2 linked regions of the Lepisosteus oculatus genome follow. The protein of the gene in region 1 interacts with the protein of each later gene in a biochemical or structural test. Links are inferred from orthologs where the notes say so. Each region holds a gene or a part of one and is shown in the gene's direction. Other genes may lie near its edges.

Region 1 (7,895 bases):
GACCCGCGTTTCCTCTCCCCGTGCTCAATCCTTGTCCTTTCTCTGTGCCAGCGGGGGAGGTGCTGGGCGACGTGTTCGAGGTGTCCATGATCCGCCGCGATGATTTTGAGTTCCACCGCGGGAAGTCGGAGTACGAGGATCTCCTGCAGAGCAACAACCTGCCTTCCACCCTCACCCCCCGTGGGCACCAGACCCCCGCGGCCTTCCTCATCATGGCATCAGGGCTGGACAAGGTACACAACACTGCACAGAACACACGACCACGCACACTACACACCAGAGCCCCGCGGCCTTCCTCATCATGGCATCAGGGCTGGACAAGGTACACAACACTGCACAGAACACACGACCACGCACACTACACACCAGAGCCCCGCGGCCTTCCTCATCATGGCATCAGGGCTGGACAAGGTACACAACACTGCACACTACACACCAGACCCCCGCGGCCTTCCTCATCATGGCATCAGGGCTGGACAAGGTACACAACACTGCACAGAACACACGACCACGCACACTACACACCAGACCCCCGCGGCCTTCCTCATCATGGCATCAGGGCTGGACAAGGTACACAACACTGCACACTACACACCAGAGCCCCGCGGCCTTCCTCATCATGGCATCAGGGCTGGACAAGGTACACAACACTGCACAGAACACACGACCACGCACACTACACACCAGAGCCCCGCGGCCTTCCTCATCATGGCATCAGGGCTGGACAAGGTACACAACACTGCACAGAACACACGACCACGCACACTACACACCAGAGCCCCGCGGCCTTCCTCATCATGGCATCAGGGCTGGACAAGGTACACAACACTGCACAGAACACACGACCACGCACACTACACACCAGAGCCCCGCGGCCTTCCTCATCATGGCATCAGGGCTGGACAAGGTACACAACACTGCACACTACACACCAGACCCCCGCGGCCTTCCTCATCATGGCATCAGGGCTGGACAAGGTACACAACACTGCACAGAACACACGACCACGCACACTACACACCAGACCCCCGCGGCCTTCCTCATCATGGCTTCAGGGCTGGACAGGGTGCACAACACTGCACAGAACACACAACCACGCACACTACACACCAGACCCCCGCGGCCTTCCTCATCATGGCATCAGGGCTGGACAAGGTACACAACACTGCACAGAACACACAACCACGCACACTACACACCAGAGCCCCGCGGCCTTCCTCATCATGGCATCAGGGCTGGACAAGGTACACAACACTGCACAGAACACACAACCATGCACACTACACACCAGACCCCCGCGGCCTTCCTCATCATGGCATCAGGGCTGGACAAGGTACACAACACTGCACAGAACACACGACCACGCACACTACACACCAGAGCCCCGCGGCCTTCCTCATCATGGCATCAGGGCTGGACAAGGTACACAACACTGCACAGAACACACGACCACGCACACTACACACCAGACCCCCGCGGCCTTCCTCATCGTGGCATCAGGACTGGACAAGTTGCAGAACACACAACCACGCACACTACACACCAGACCCCCGCGGCCTTCCTCATCATGGCATCAGGGCTGGACAAGGTACACAAAACTGCACAGAACACACAACCACGCACACTACACACCAGACCCCCGCGGCCTTCCTCATCGTGGCATCAGGACTGGACAAGTTGCAGAACACACAACCACACACACTACACACCAGACCCCCGCGGCCTTCCTCATCATGGCATCAGGGCTGTACAAGGTACACAACGCACAACCACACACACTACACACCAGAGCCCTGCAGCCTTCCTCATCATGGCATCAAGACACTGGGACACTGAGCAAACAACACTGTACTATTCACACCAGACTCCCCTGCCCTCCACATCACAGTGTGTGGGCTGGACATCGAGCACACAACAATCCACACATTAAACAACTGTACACACACTACACACCAGACCCCCCTGCCCTCCACATCGCAGTGTCTAGGCTGGACATCGAGCACACAACTGTACACACTACACACCAGAACCCCTTGTCCTCCACATCGCAGTGTCTGGGCTGTTGCATTGAGCTTTTGTAGATAAGACTCATAGAGAAAACGCTCTGGATGTAGGATCCTGGGATCTGGACTTGGGGAAACTCTGCTCTGTACTGACATGTTCACTCCTCCCTCTCACCCGTAGCACGGCACGGACTCCGAACAGCCTCTGCGTTACTCCCACATCGACATCGCCGGCTCCTCCGGCCCTTTCCCAGGAATCCCGACCGGAGCGCCGATCCTGGCCATGGCCACACGCTACGTCCTGCCCTGCCTCTGAGTGTCTGTCGGAGCAGAGTGAATGACAAGACGTTTTTGCTGTTTGTACACGTAAACGGTTCGCAGAGCGTGTGTGTGTGTGTCCGGAGAAAAACTGGATCCTCAACACGATGCAATAAAAAGGCCTAAATGATGAAAGTGTTTTCTTGATTTATGTTGCGTGTTGCTGGTTTATCATCTAGCATTATTTTTCCAGTGTAAGCACTTGTCTAATGACTTCATTTACTGCAATTTACCGAGTTTACAAAAACAGAACAGCACTACACGTACAAGAGTAACACCGTGTAAATGCACCTAAAAAGGTCCGACTTGCCTTGAGTGTACACTTGACAGTGTACCTTAGTTCTGCAGGAACACAACTAACAGTTGCAATCGTGTGAGAGGGGTTGCAGTACTCCTACAGTCCTTTCTTATGCCATCAGTAAAATGTTTGAACTAGCTGCTGTTTTCCCTCTCCCGAACAATGCAACTCATTGGTGTAGTTTTCACACCAGTCTTCATCACTTTCCTTAACCAGTTGCGCCTGCTGTCGCGACGACCTCGTCTTCTCCGTCCACAGGTTTGAATTTCTCCCATCGGCGGCACAGTAAGTGGTATTAGTAGCTGAAGTTTCTTCTCTTCCAGTTGCTGCCCTCATCGGTGAGTCCCAGAAATCGGGGCTTGTTCCTTTAGGCCAGGCTTTTCTTAACCGCAAACTTCACACCTAGATGTGGAGATCCTTAACAACTGCTGTCCTGTTTCTGATCTCCTTTTCCTACCCAAGAGTCCTGAAAGGGAGGTGTCGGCTCAATTGCAATCTTCCGTGGCTGCCAGTGAGATCCTCAAACCTTTTCATCCAGGTTAAAGTAAATCGGTTGTTAAAGTAGTTAATTCATCATGGCTTGAACTTGGGGTCACTCCATAATCTTCTCCTGGTTTAAAGTGCTGCGTTTTGATACTGTCAATCGCTGCACCCCATGGGACAGCATGGGCAAACTCCATCAGACATTAAACCTTTCTTGTATCCACATTGTACTGGAAAGGACTACAACTAAGATCAATTTAATGGAAAAGACCAAGATGTTGCTCAGTGTAACTGTGACATGACTGAAATTATGTTCAATTTAATTGACAAGACTGAGATTATGCTCAATTTAACTGTGACAGATGGAGATTTATGCTGTTTGATTGAGAAGACTGAGATTATGCTCATAGGCTCCCAACCTGAATTTTGTAGACCTGCTGACTTCGGCGGTGCTGTGGAAATTAAACCTCAGAGGGATGATGGTAACCACCAAGTTCCTTCTGCCCCTGTGGTATCTTTTACTACTCATCAGCCCAGGTTTGGAGCATCACGAGGGCATCTTCCTCCAGCAGAGCTGGGTGCCTGCAAAGCCCAGCGTCTTCTGAACAGTCGCTGTTGCACTGATGGTCTATCTCACGAGCTGCACAGCTGTGATACATCTAGCCAGGCTCAGAGGGGGGTATAGGTATCTGTACCTTCAGTGTAATCATAAAAGACTTCAAGAAAAATGAGGCATATGTCCAGCTCAGAAAATAATTAGGCTAATTGTTTGACTGCTCAGGTTGGAATACAATCTAGATGCCAGCACCCTCCAGAAACAGAGTTTGAGACTGTAGACCTTGCTGATCCTGGAATATTAATACATCTTTTAGTTCATTACTATTAGACTGCTGTGCTGATCCTCTCTCCCTTTCTCGTCTGTTTGTGTCTCACTTATTAACACTCATTAAAAGTGGGTGTAAGGACAGGAATCCGAATGAAAAGAGTAGTCGCTGGTTTCAGGAAGACAATTTCTTTTGATATTTTTGTCCAGTTGTCAGAGGTTTGATGAAAAGCGCTCATTTAATTGATTAAAAAATATATTTTTTAGTTTTACCTATCACGGAATACTGTACCTTTGCTCTGCATCCCTGATTTTACATGAGAAAAATACTAATCAATCACCTTAAAAATCCTTTACTTTCAGTTCTTACACATTTTCTTTTCCAGCACTTTATGCCTATTCTAAATGTGGTCCAATGTGTCAACAGGCCATGTTTTTACCGCCTGACTCAACAAACTCCCTTGTGCGTTTCAGAACAAAAAAACATAAAAACAAATTAGCGCCCTTTTAAACTACACGGCACTTCCTCCAGGGGTCGAGTCGGATGGGAACCCAGTCTGCGAGGAGGCTCGCTGAAGTGAAGGGTAAACGCGGAAAAGCCAGAGCCAAAATGGCGGATACGGGTGGGCGGGCTGTCCCCGACCGTCTCCCCAGCGGTGATTGGCTGATCTCGGTGTCATTCCCAGTGATTTGCCGCGCTCGATTCTGGGTGCTTCGCCTCGTCGGCACGACCGACTGAGGACAACATCGCACTTCATAATGTGCTTGTTTGACCCTGGGTATATAGTTGACTACCTCTGATGAAAATCGCAGTGTTTTAGTCGTCTCTATGCTGCGCGCAAACCAAGGCACGCGCGTCTTAGCCAATCATCGCCTGGGTGACGGTCGGGGTTTCCCGGATGTGGGCGGAGGGGTTGTAGTGACGTCAGAGGAACAAGAATAAAACTCGGCGATTCCCGCCAGCTCGTCTTTGTATTTCAGTCGCCGGAGTAGCAAGCATAGTTAGTGCTGCTGCGGTTATTTAGCCAGGAGTCAATAACTTTGAGCCTGACGCTTGAGGAACCTGCGTTTCCACCCATTTCTCTTTTTGCACGCCCACGCACACACAGGTCGTTCCTGCAACATGTTCGAGGCTCGGCTGGTCCAGGGCTCGATCCTGAAGAAGGTGCTGGAGGCCCTGAAGGACCTGATCACCGAGGCGTGCTGGGACATCAGCTCGTCCGGCATCTCGCTGCAGAGCATGGACTCCTCGCACGTCTCGCTGGTGCAGCTGACGCTGCGTAGCGACGGCTTCGACTCCTACCGCTGCGATCGCAACCTGGCCATGGGGGTGAACCTGAGCAGGTGAGCTGAGCTGGGCCGAGCCGGTCCCGGGAGGAGGTCTCGTCCGCGGGCAGCCCTCCCGCGCGCTGCTGTCCGACACCCGGGTTCGGATCTTGCGTATCTGATGCATTATTGTATTTTCCAAAGCGCCTGTTAACACGGGTTATAAAGTGCGCTGTCGATCGGCTCTTCACATTGAGTTTTAGAGCGGTGAAGTCGTTGTAAATAATTACTGCGCGCCGTGGCGCAGAGGGAACTAGTTTTCGCGGGTGCTGGTCAGTAAAGTAGTAGTAGCCCATTCCCCCGTGACCCGGGTGTCTTGACGTTTCCCCGGACGGTGCTCTGTGCTTGGAGTAGTAGCGCCGCGCCGGGCATGTCTGTACATGAGCGGATCTCCGGACTGGCGCTCCGTCACCTGACTGAACCGTTCTGGGAATTTGAAATGACTAAAATAACTTATATAATATACAGCGCTATTGATCTGTTGCGTTTGTTTTTTTTTTTCGAAATAGCAATCCAGGATGCGTTAAAGAATAATAAACGGTGCATCGCTGTTATAAGTTCATAAATGTTATCCCTGAGGTCTGTATTTCAGTTCCGGCTTTTTTAACTTGAGCACTCAGCCTGTAAATCACAGGGCGTGTAGATGCCCTGTTTTGCCCCTTTTAAGTTTGTGTCAAAGTGAACTCGGGCGCCTGGATGGTTTTTTTTTGTTGCTGCTCTGGCGCCACGAGTTGGGAAAACGGAATAGGAAATCAAAAGGCGGCATGGCTGCCCCTGCCCCGTGACGTCACTTCGGCGCCAAATTCGCAAACGGGGGTCTTGTTGGCGGGAAAGTACAATGTGCTCTGCGTGCAGGGAGAGACGCAGCCCTGTAGGTCTGAGCATGATCAGCGTCTCACTTGTTCGAGTGAGTGTCAGTTTTTAACATTTAGATTCAGAAGATCGATGCCATAAAATACTATATGCGATTCTTCAGAGATTTGTGTGGCATACAGGCAGCCCGATTTGCGCACAGAAACTTCCAGAAAACCGTACAAACAAACATTTCAAACGAATAGAACATTTCATAAGCAGACAGAGCCCGTAAATTTACTCCCCCTGCAATGGCGATGGACGCGTTGTAGATGATACATGAATAATGCACCTTCGCAGAACAGAGGCAGGTGTCCGACAGTTCGCTGTGCAGGGGCAGATCACCCTGAGGGAGACGGCCAGGAGCAGCAGTTCAGTGTCCTGTCTCGGGATGAGAGAGATGTGGGCTCAGGTGGCATGTGGGGTGTTGATTTGGGACATCTCTCCGATGACCTGCTGCTAGTCACTGTAGGTGAGGATTTTTTTGGGCTGACTAGATTTTAAAATCCCCCTGATGGTCAATAAATAGATGAACGGCGTCCCCAGACGTTGAAGAAGTTCAGGCGGGGAGCTGCGTCGGCATGGCTGGGCTGCAAAGCCGCAAGTCAAGGTTAGATAGATACTTTATTGATCCCGTGAGGGAAATTGCAGTGCAACAGCAGCTTAACACACACAACACAGCCACAGTGTAACGAATTATATAATAATAGTACAATACATACAATACAATACAAGAGTTACTCACAGTCCGGACACACAAAGAACAAACTAGAACAGAACAGTACACAGAAAAATCGTATCACACATATGAATATAAATATAGATATACATATAAATGTATTGCACAGGTCCCTGGCATATATTGCACAAAAAATGGTTGTAAACGGGGGAAAAGAAAGAGAACAGATGTAGCAGTAGATGCGTTTAGTCCAGAAACTTCCTGTTGATTCCTGTGCTGAAAAGGAAAAGAGACGAGGGTCTGGCTGTGGAGCCTCATTCACCCTTCAGAAGGCTCCCGAGCCGAACTTGTCTCTTCCAGCGCGGAATAAACCCTTACCTCTTGCTTCGCTCCCGAACGTTTGCGAAGGGGCCCGTCTCTCCGGGATGTGGGGGTGGCGGAGAGTGGCAGCTTTGACCCGGCAGGTCTGGGGGGGCCGGACAGTTGCGGGGCCACTCAGGGACGCTCTCTCCTGTCGCTGCAGCATGTCGAAGATCCTGAAGTGCGCAGGGAACGAGGACATCATCACGCTGCGCGCGGAGGACAACGCCGACACGCTGGCCCTGGTGTTCGAGACGCTCAGTGAGTGGGTTGTGAGCTCGGGGTTGTGGAACTCCCTTACACAAAGGGGGGGTGGGAGTGTGGAACAGGCGATGGTTATCGGACAGGATCAGGTAGCCGCTGCTAACTAGTCCGAGCGGCCTCTTCCTGTTTTCGGCTTGTATCACCGGGCGGGGTTGGTGATGGGCTGTGCTCGGTGCTGTGATTTTGCTCCAGAGGACAGTGGAGCTCACCCTGGGGCGCCAGGAGCTTGACTCTCCCTCTCGTCTCCTCCCCCCCCAGATCAGGAGAAGGTGTCGGACTACGAGATGAAGCTGATGGACCTCGATGTGGAGCAGCTGGGGATCCCAGTAAGTGCCCCTCTCCTGAAGAGGGTCCCGGGCTCGTCGGTGGTCCTGTAGTCCAGGTCGGCGCCGAGGGAGCAGGTTTTTAACGATCCAGTGATTAGAACGCTAGACTGATCGTTTAAGTACAAGCCCGACCTATTTCCCCTATTTCTGCCTTGCTCTGTAA
Region 2 (7,489 bases), on another chromosome or scaffold:
TCAGGATGAAAATGCATTTCCTTTAGAAAATGTCCCCCGTTAAAGGGGAATAACTACATCCTTGCAGATGTCTTACAGTAGGTGTGCATTAAAGACCATAACCCTAATCTTACCCTACCTCTATCCACATAAACCTCAACCTCTTTAGTATTGTACTGCCTAATGTTTGAAAATTTAGGAAACTAGAAAATTAGGAAACACGTTCTGTTACCGGGGTATTTATCCAATACCTCTCTCTTGAGAATGAGACAAAGGGTTCTGGCACCTTCAGAAGAAAATGAGACAGAACTCAGGCTGTGGACCATGACCACTTCAGGGACACTGCAGACAGACGGGAAGGACTCAAGTGATCTTCTGCAGGGACTGCCTCAGAAAAGAGGGGTAGGTCAGTTTGCCCGGTCTTGATGGAGCACATCGATGTTGTGTGAATTCATGCGCCAGCCCTCTTGCTGTCTGAGTGTCTGTTCGCCACCATCACTCTCTTGTCACACTTCAACAAGGCCACAGAAGCAGCCTGGAGCACTATATCCTTATCAGGGTGACTGGTAGGACAGACAAGGAGCAGCTTTTTATTAAAATCAGTGTGTTGATTTATGGCCAAAATGTAGGCATTCTAATGTTGTATAGATTGAGGAAAGTGGAATTTGTTGTTCTTTTTTAAGGTTGTAACGGTTGAAGATTACATTTCTGTAGGAAAAGAAAACGTTGGAAAAAAGTGCAATACTCACAAAAATCTAATCTTTCTCAAGGGAACTTTTTTTAAACAAAAAAAAGGGTTTGGAAATCTAATGTTTTTGGCAATGTGAAAAACTGTATTCAGTCATGTTTTAATTCTATGCAAACGTTTGCCGATATTGTTTTATATGTTATTTATATTTTCCAGCGACAGTACAGACTGCTGTAATTAAACACATTTCAAGTGCTCTATTTGTATTTCGTGTTGCCTTTGGATTGGTTTGTAATGACACCTAGTGGTACTTCTGGTTTATACAAGTAAAGCTCCACAACGCATAGTCGCTTGCTTTTTAAGCCTTTTTACGCACTGCGTCCTTGATGATTTATCTCACAAAATCCGTGTTTAGTCTTCATTTATTTTATTTTTTCAGTTTTATACATTATGAGAAAGCAGTGGGGCAAATTAAAGGTCTGGTTTTCCACTAAAGAGGCCTGTATTTAGGAAACGAGCAGTGGCTCTTTTTCGGCCATTCACCTTGTTAATACACCCGTACACACGTGAGGTTTGGCTCCTGTGCTCGAGTCTCCTGCAGCGTGTAGCTTTCATTTCATTCTTGCAGTCATACTGCAAGAGAAGCCAGATTTGACAGCTCTATTATTATGGCTAATGCCTACAGAAGGGGATAATTTTCAAATGAGTATAGAAAAATCCTCAAGGCCGCTTACAGAGTCTACACCTCAGACTTATGTCCAATGAACAGTGGCATATGAACCGGCAAAAGTGGAAACAAGATGGAAGGATTGTGGGAGTCTGGAATGAGCTTCTCAGCCGCGTCATTGAACCCGATACCCACTGAAACGGATCGCTTGTATCCCTAATACACTACTTAAAAGTTTGACATATTGTTTCTTTCGCAGCGATTTACATAAATTCCGTAGCATGATGACTTTTTTTTTATCCACCACATGAAAAATTACAGCAGTTCACCCCCGTTCACGCAGGGTGAGCACAGCTTTGGGGGAGTTTGGGGAGAGGGCTCAAGGCAGCGGAACACGGTACGCATCGGCCGCGGCTCTTCCTGTACTTCCAGCTCTGACGTCTAAGACAGTTAAACTGCCTTGTTGATCTGTAAATGCGAGCTCTCCTTTGTGAGCCACTGCGTAACGGATTTGCAAAAGCAACTTTCAGTGCAGGAAAAAAAAAACCGCGTTAAAATCATTCTCTCTCGCTATTTTCTGCTTTCCCTTCTCTCTCTTCTTCCCACCCTCTCCGCCAGCCCTTCAATCGCTCTTGTACTCAGCGGCCAATATGGAGCCAGCAACATCCCAGGCTCCATCACAAGCCGTGTGCTACCATGGCAACAGAAGAGCGGGTCGGCCAATCAGGTGAGAGCCATGAGGTCTGACAGATGTCATAAACTCGCTGCAGAGCCGCAGAGAAACACAGCCGCTCCAGATACAGACGCTGTTGCTCCAGCGGCACACGCCCAATGCACCGCTCACTTTCTGTCTGCAAAAGGTCTGTTAATCATCTGGTGCTGTACGCGCGCACTACAGGTTATGCTGTTCATTTCTCCTGTGTTCTTTGTTCATTTAATCTAGGCGTCCTAGCTCAGGAATTATCCAGACAAACCCTATTTTAGATACAGTATATAACCAAAGCATTGCACTGAAAATCACGTAATTATGGATAAATAACCCATTGTGGTCCCTTTATTTTCTATTAGCTCCTAGGTAAGAATATTTTTAAGAAGCTTTATGTGATGGCTCAAAGTTTCAGGGATTCATGTGAGGCCTCTATTTTGATATACAGGCCAATCTATATTCTGAAACATACATCAGGACATTTGGGATAGTTCTGGGTCTTTGTCCTCTGCCTTAATTAAACGAATTGGGAAAGTCAGGCATTTTCCCAACATTTTTTACATTTAGGACCCAGATTTTAAGTCAAATTTGGGATCCGGCCATCAATGGCCAATCCCAGGCCTTTGCTGTCCTTCCGTGGAAAGGTGCTCTCGGGGAGGAGGTTGGAATTTGGATAGGGGAAGACAGGCCGGTGTACACATCGGAGTCCTACCTGGAGGGTTTGGAGCAGATATTCAGTGACAGCACAGCGCCGGCGCTCGCAGAGAAGCTGCTGACAATGACACAGGAGGAAAGGAGGCAACCGGGAGGAGCAGATGGTAATACCAGTTATCCAGATGTGTCAGACTCCAGATGTGGGAGACCGGGGTTGTCTGGTTACATCCATCCATTTCCCAACCTCTTTATCCAGTAAAGGGCCGAGGGGAGCTGGAGCCTATTTTGGCAGGAGACGGGCGCAAGGCAGGATGGGAAGACACACTCACTGGGATGGCATCATCGAGTTCTTATTCCAAATTAGTCACTCATTTACCTAAGAATTATTCTCCCACAGATTTATCTAAAGTGGGAGACAATGCAAATGCTCATATGCTTCATTAAAGGGAGTTACCTATAAAACAGATCCTGGTGAGAAGTGTTCAAATTGTCTAGGCACAAGTAAAGGAAAAGATAGGTTTGAGCAGAGAGCCGTGTCAGCGTTGGGCACGAGGGAACAAGTATGCTTTCATTCAGTTTAGAGAAGGCCCCACACCTGAAGAAGGCTCACCAGCCAAAACACTTCTTTTCTTATACTGTTCACTGCAAAATGGGCATTTATTTCTTCCTTTGCAGCTGACACACCTCCTTGCTCGAACCTCTTCGAATTGTGTATCTGAGATCGGGTGGATCTCAAAACACAGGGATCCACTGGAATCAGGAGGCAGATCTCAAAACACTGAGATCCACTGGAATCCAAAAGTGGATCTCAAAACACAGATCCACTGGAATAAAAAGTAGATCTCAAAACACTGAGATCCACTGGAATCCAAAAGTGGATCTCAAAACACTGAGATCCACTGGAATCCAAAAGTGGATCTCAAAACACAGATCCACTGGAATAAAAAAGTAGATCTCAAAACACTGGGATCCACTAGAATCAAGAAGACACTGGGCCCACTCGGACACTCCTGAGGCGACGTCTGCAAGGAAAGAGATGCGGGTGTTTCTTCAGTCTAGAATATAAGAAATAGCCTGAGGGCTTTCTTTCCATGTCAAGACTGGGGCGCTGAAAAGACTTCGCCAATCGAAGACTCTCTGGAGTAAAGACTCGCAGTGGGCTAAAAGTACCAAGGCTGACAGACCCTGAGCTAAACTGAGCTGCAGCACGAGATACGTGCCCCTGAGATGAACAACAGATGGTGAGGAAATGGATTCGTGAAATTCAACATCTACAACACAAGATGGCGCAATGGCCAAACACCACGTTTAGCTGAGAGAAACAAAGTTTCATGTTTAAAATGCATCCCTACGATGGCGCGGTAATTACGTTTCAATCTTCATCTAAAAAGAACATACAACTGTTTTAAATATATATGTAGTGAAGTATTTAATGCATGTTATTCAGTTCACGGATCTCAGCAAAGTGTTATTTTACTTTAGATAGGTTTGGAAATATATCTGAAAGCCAAAAAAAGGACTGAAAAATGACGCAACTAGCTTGCCTAACTAGCAATGTCGACGAACAAATGTCTGGAAGTGGCACAAAGCGTTCACAAACTCCCGCATCTACAAAACACGGAGCTCTTGGAGGTCGCGGCTCCGGAGGGGACTGGCGCTGAAGAAAGTCGTGAGAGTCGAGACGCACTTGGGGTGCACCCCACGTGTTTCGCGCGAGTTCAGCGGGACCCGGAGCTCTGCAGGTACCCGCAGGGCCGATATCCGCCGCTGGGAGCTTGTTGCCAGGCAAGGCTGAAACACACGCTTTGTACCGCCTCTATTTCCAGATGTCCCCGATAGGCACTGCATCGAAGTAGCAATTATTATATAGTGTTATTGTTGGTGGTGGTGTGCTGTGGTTTTTCATCTAAGCCATTAAGAAACGTTTTTGATCTATACGGGCGGTGGTTATATTAGTAATTATTCCTGGGTTTTTAGAAAACGACAAAGTTAAACGTTTTGAACATAGGAACTCTTATCTTTGTACTTCGTGATTACTATTTAATCCTATCCACTTTCCTTCGAGATGAATACGCGCGACTAAAATACGGATTTTTTCATAATGAAAAAATATGGATGGTTAATCGTCCTGCGTTCTCGTATGGGTTCTGAATCCCACGAAAAAGGCTAGCGCGATTAAGTGTCCGATGAAACGGTAGCGCCGTATTAATTCAAATTCAATTGTATAATACACCGATATTTACGGTAATTCTGTTGCAGCACAAATCTTGCTCTGAATCCGTCAGGTTAAGCCTCCTCGTCACGCGTGTTGAGGTTGTGACGTGAGCTGGGCATTGATGTCGGGGGACACACGAAACCTCGCTCCTTCCCCGCAGAGAGGCGGTAGTTTCTGTGCGGGGTCGTGCCTCGAAGCGCGACGTTCAGAGGAAAAGCCGCTCGGGTCCCTGGTGCACAGGTGGCGCGGCGTGGATTGACGTTCACCCTTGTTCCCCCAGCCACGTTAAACGAAGGGCTCCCTCGCAGTGTGAAATAGCACTTCGCCATGTTTGAATCAAAGCAGGCCGTGGAGCGCCCCTCGGGTACACACAGCCGCAGGTGCGCTTCAGTCACGGAATGAAGTCTTGTGTGGAGAAGGGACGAGGGGGCTGGGGCTGGCTGGGGCACGGTGTTATTCGGTTAAAAAAAAAAAACAACACGGTCTTGGCGCCTGTTGCCCCAGCTTTTTAATCACTCCGCTTGAATGAATTATTTTTTCCTCCTGCTGCAGCGTGTTCACCAGACTCGCGGCGGGGGGAGGGGGTGTACTCGGGCCACAGAGTCTGCCAGCCGCCGCCGCCGAGCCAGTCAATGAATCCCTGGGCGTGAGAGGGGGGCCCTCGCTCACTAGACGCGCTGCGTCACTGCAGGCGAGCGATCCCGGCGCTGGGGGGCGCTGCGAGACCGGCCGCCGGCGGCGCGTCTCTCCGTGGTGACCCCGGCAGGAGGAGCGTCCGCGGCGGTCGGCGAATAGGAGGAGGAGCCGGGGAGAGCGAGAGAGGCAGGCGGCGAGAGAAGGCTGCTGGAAATGGGGAGAGAGAGAAGGGCGATCGGGGGGGACTCGCTCGTCTGACTGAAGAGCCACGAGTGCGAGTGGGAGAGAGGGGGCGAAGCAGAGGACAAAAGACGGAGCAGAAGAGGCAGGAGGGAGAGGGAGAGGCCGGCCTGCACGGGCGCAGGAATGAGAAGCTCGCTGTAGAGGAGAGGTGAGGACGGATCCCCCATGAGCCCGAGCCCGAGCCCGAGCCGCGAGCCGCGCGCGCCGCGCCGGACTGCGAGCTCTCGTGCGATCGCGTGCCTTCCGCCTGGCGTGCGCTCGGGGCAGCCGTCTCGCTCGGCGCGAGAGGCCGATGCGCGGGAGCCGCGGCTGACGCGTCCTCTCCTCTCCGCTGGTCCGGTCCCGGCCGAGCCCGCAGACTGCCAGCCTTGCCTGGGGGTTTACCCCCCACCCGAACTCCTTCTCCTGTTTTTTTTTAGGCCGGCCTGGGTCAGACTGTCCCACCCACCAGCTGAATCACATGGGACGGGGCGAGCAGACACAACACAGGCGTTCACGCCAGGTCGCAGCCGGCTCTCTGGCCGGGGCGGCAGGGTGTTCGCCCGCCGATTTGTAGCGGGGAGCGGGGGGCTCTCACGTTAGAGTCCGGTGCCCCTGAGCTGCTGTAGTTGGAGCCCCCTGACCGGGGGTGTTGCCTCCTATTACACCGTAGTGCCCTTCCTGTGTGTATAAGCGGCATGACCCCTGCGCCCCCCGAAATATCCCGGCGTTGCCCCCTGTTTTGACAGTCCGCGGGCAGACCCGGCACGTCCGAGCTCAGCGGCGATGAAGGGGCTCACCGGGCGGGCGGAAGTGCTGTATTACAGTCGGGTAACCCGCTGCTCCGGGGTCTGCCAGTGCAGGCTTCAGGACGAGGCAGCTGTAGGACTCACGGTGTTTATCAGTCGGAGTGGAATGACAAGAGTTCAACCTGAACAATGAGTCTGCGTTTTCCATATTTTGTAGCGTTTTGCTTTGGAAGCCATCGTTTTACAGCTTTGCGACGTAGTAAATATGAGGTGCCGCTAACTTTGTTTTCTTATTGTACATACATGTGTGGTAAGAAATCCTAAACTTCACATTATTTGTGGTGGGTTATGGCTTAACAATGTTGACCTGTCGTGTCAAGTAAAGGTAACGTGAATAATGGAAAATGAAACAGCCGGTGTTCTTTCTGTGAACCCTTTTATATATATATATCAATAAACTGTCCACCTTGATCAATAATTGTTTCTCCAACAAGCATTCTTCACACAGGAGGTGTCTCTCAAACTGTGGGGTGCTGTGTATAAAGGGCACACACCCCTTATTCTCTTACTGTAGGTTCTGAGTGAGCTCCCTGCCTCTCCCATCGAAGTGATGGCAGGGGTTTCTGAAAAGGGGCAGTCGACACAAAAATAGATTTTGTTTCAGAATTTATGACTGTGGTGTCTGAGGGGATTTCTGTATTGAAAGAATGTTTTATTAAGGATAGAAAGCTGGGTTTTCCGAATCGGTTCCTTCAGGGCTCCTGTGTCCTTTGGTGTTTATGCAGACCAGAGCGGTCAATTAAGCAATTAACCTCATTCCTTTCTCAGTTTAGATGCAAGGAGGATGTTTCCTCCATTCGTTCACAGTTGATTGCTCCCAAGTGTTCACTTTATTAGCGACACTGAGAAAGCGTCTCAGTGCCTGGTCCGAGTTACCATAATTATGCACTTGATTAGCAAAAACCAGAGCTGA

Evidence for each region.
Region 2: the proteins of pcna (region 1) and rev1 form a complex in vitro, tested with the Homo sapiens proteins (2 studies listed by BioGRID, with this or other methods). The link is inferred for Lepisosteus oculatus from reciprocal best matches to the Homo sapiens genes PCNA and REV1.

The regions. Positions count from the first base shown.
Region 1 is NC_090697.1:65,499,343-65,507,237, forward strand, and holds the start of pcna (proliferating cell nuclear antigen), read left to right. Parts: upstream 1-4,854; 5' UTR 4,855-5,048; coding exon 5,049-5,269; intron 5,270-7,305; coding exon 7,306-7,403; intron 7,404-7,664; coding exon 7,665-7,732; intron 7,733-7,895. Other genes in the region: putative aminopeptidase W07G4.4, read left to right, coding at 52-233, 2,185-2,319. UniProt on the Homo sapiens protein: Auxiliary protein of DNA polymerase delta and epsilon, is involved in the control of eukaryotic DNA replication by increasing the polymerase's processibility during elongation of the leading strand.
Region 2 is NC_090710.1:2,840,416-2,847,904, forward strand, and holds the start of rev1 (DNA repair protein REV1), read left to right. Parts: upstream 1-4,417; 5' UTR 4,418-4,436; intron 4,437-5,056; exon of another isoform or gene 5,057-5,289; intron 5,290-5,412; exon of another isoform or gene 5,413-5,936; intron 5,937-6,031; exon of another isoform or gene 6,032-6,826; intron 6,827-7,489. UniProt on the Homo sapiens protein: Deoxycytidyl transferase involved in DNA repair. Transfers a dCMP residue from dCTP to the 3'-end of a DNA primer in a template-dependent reaction.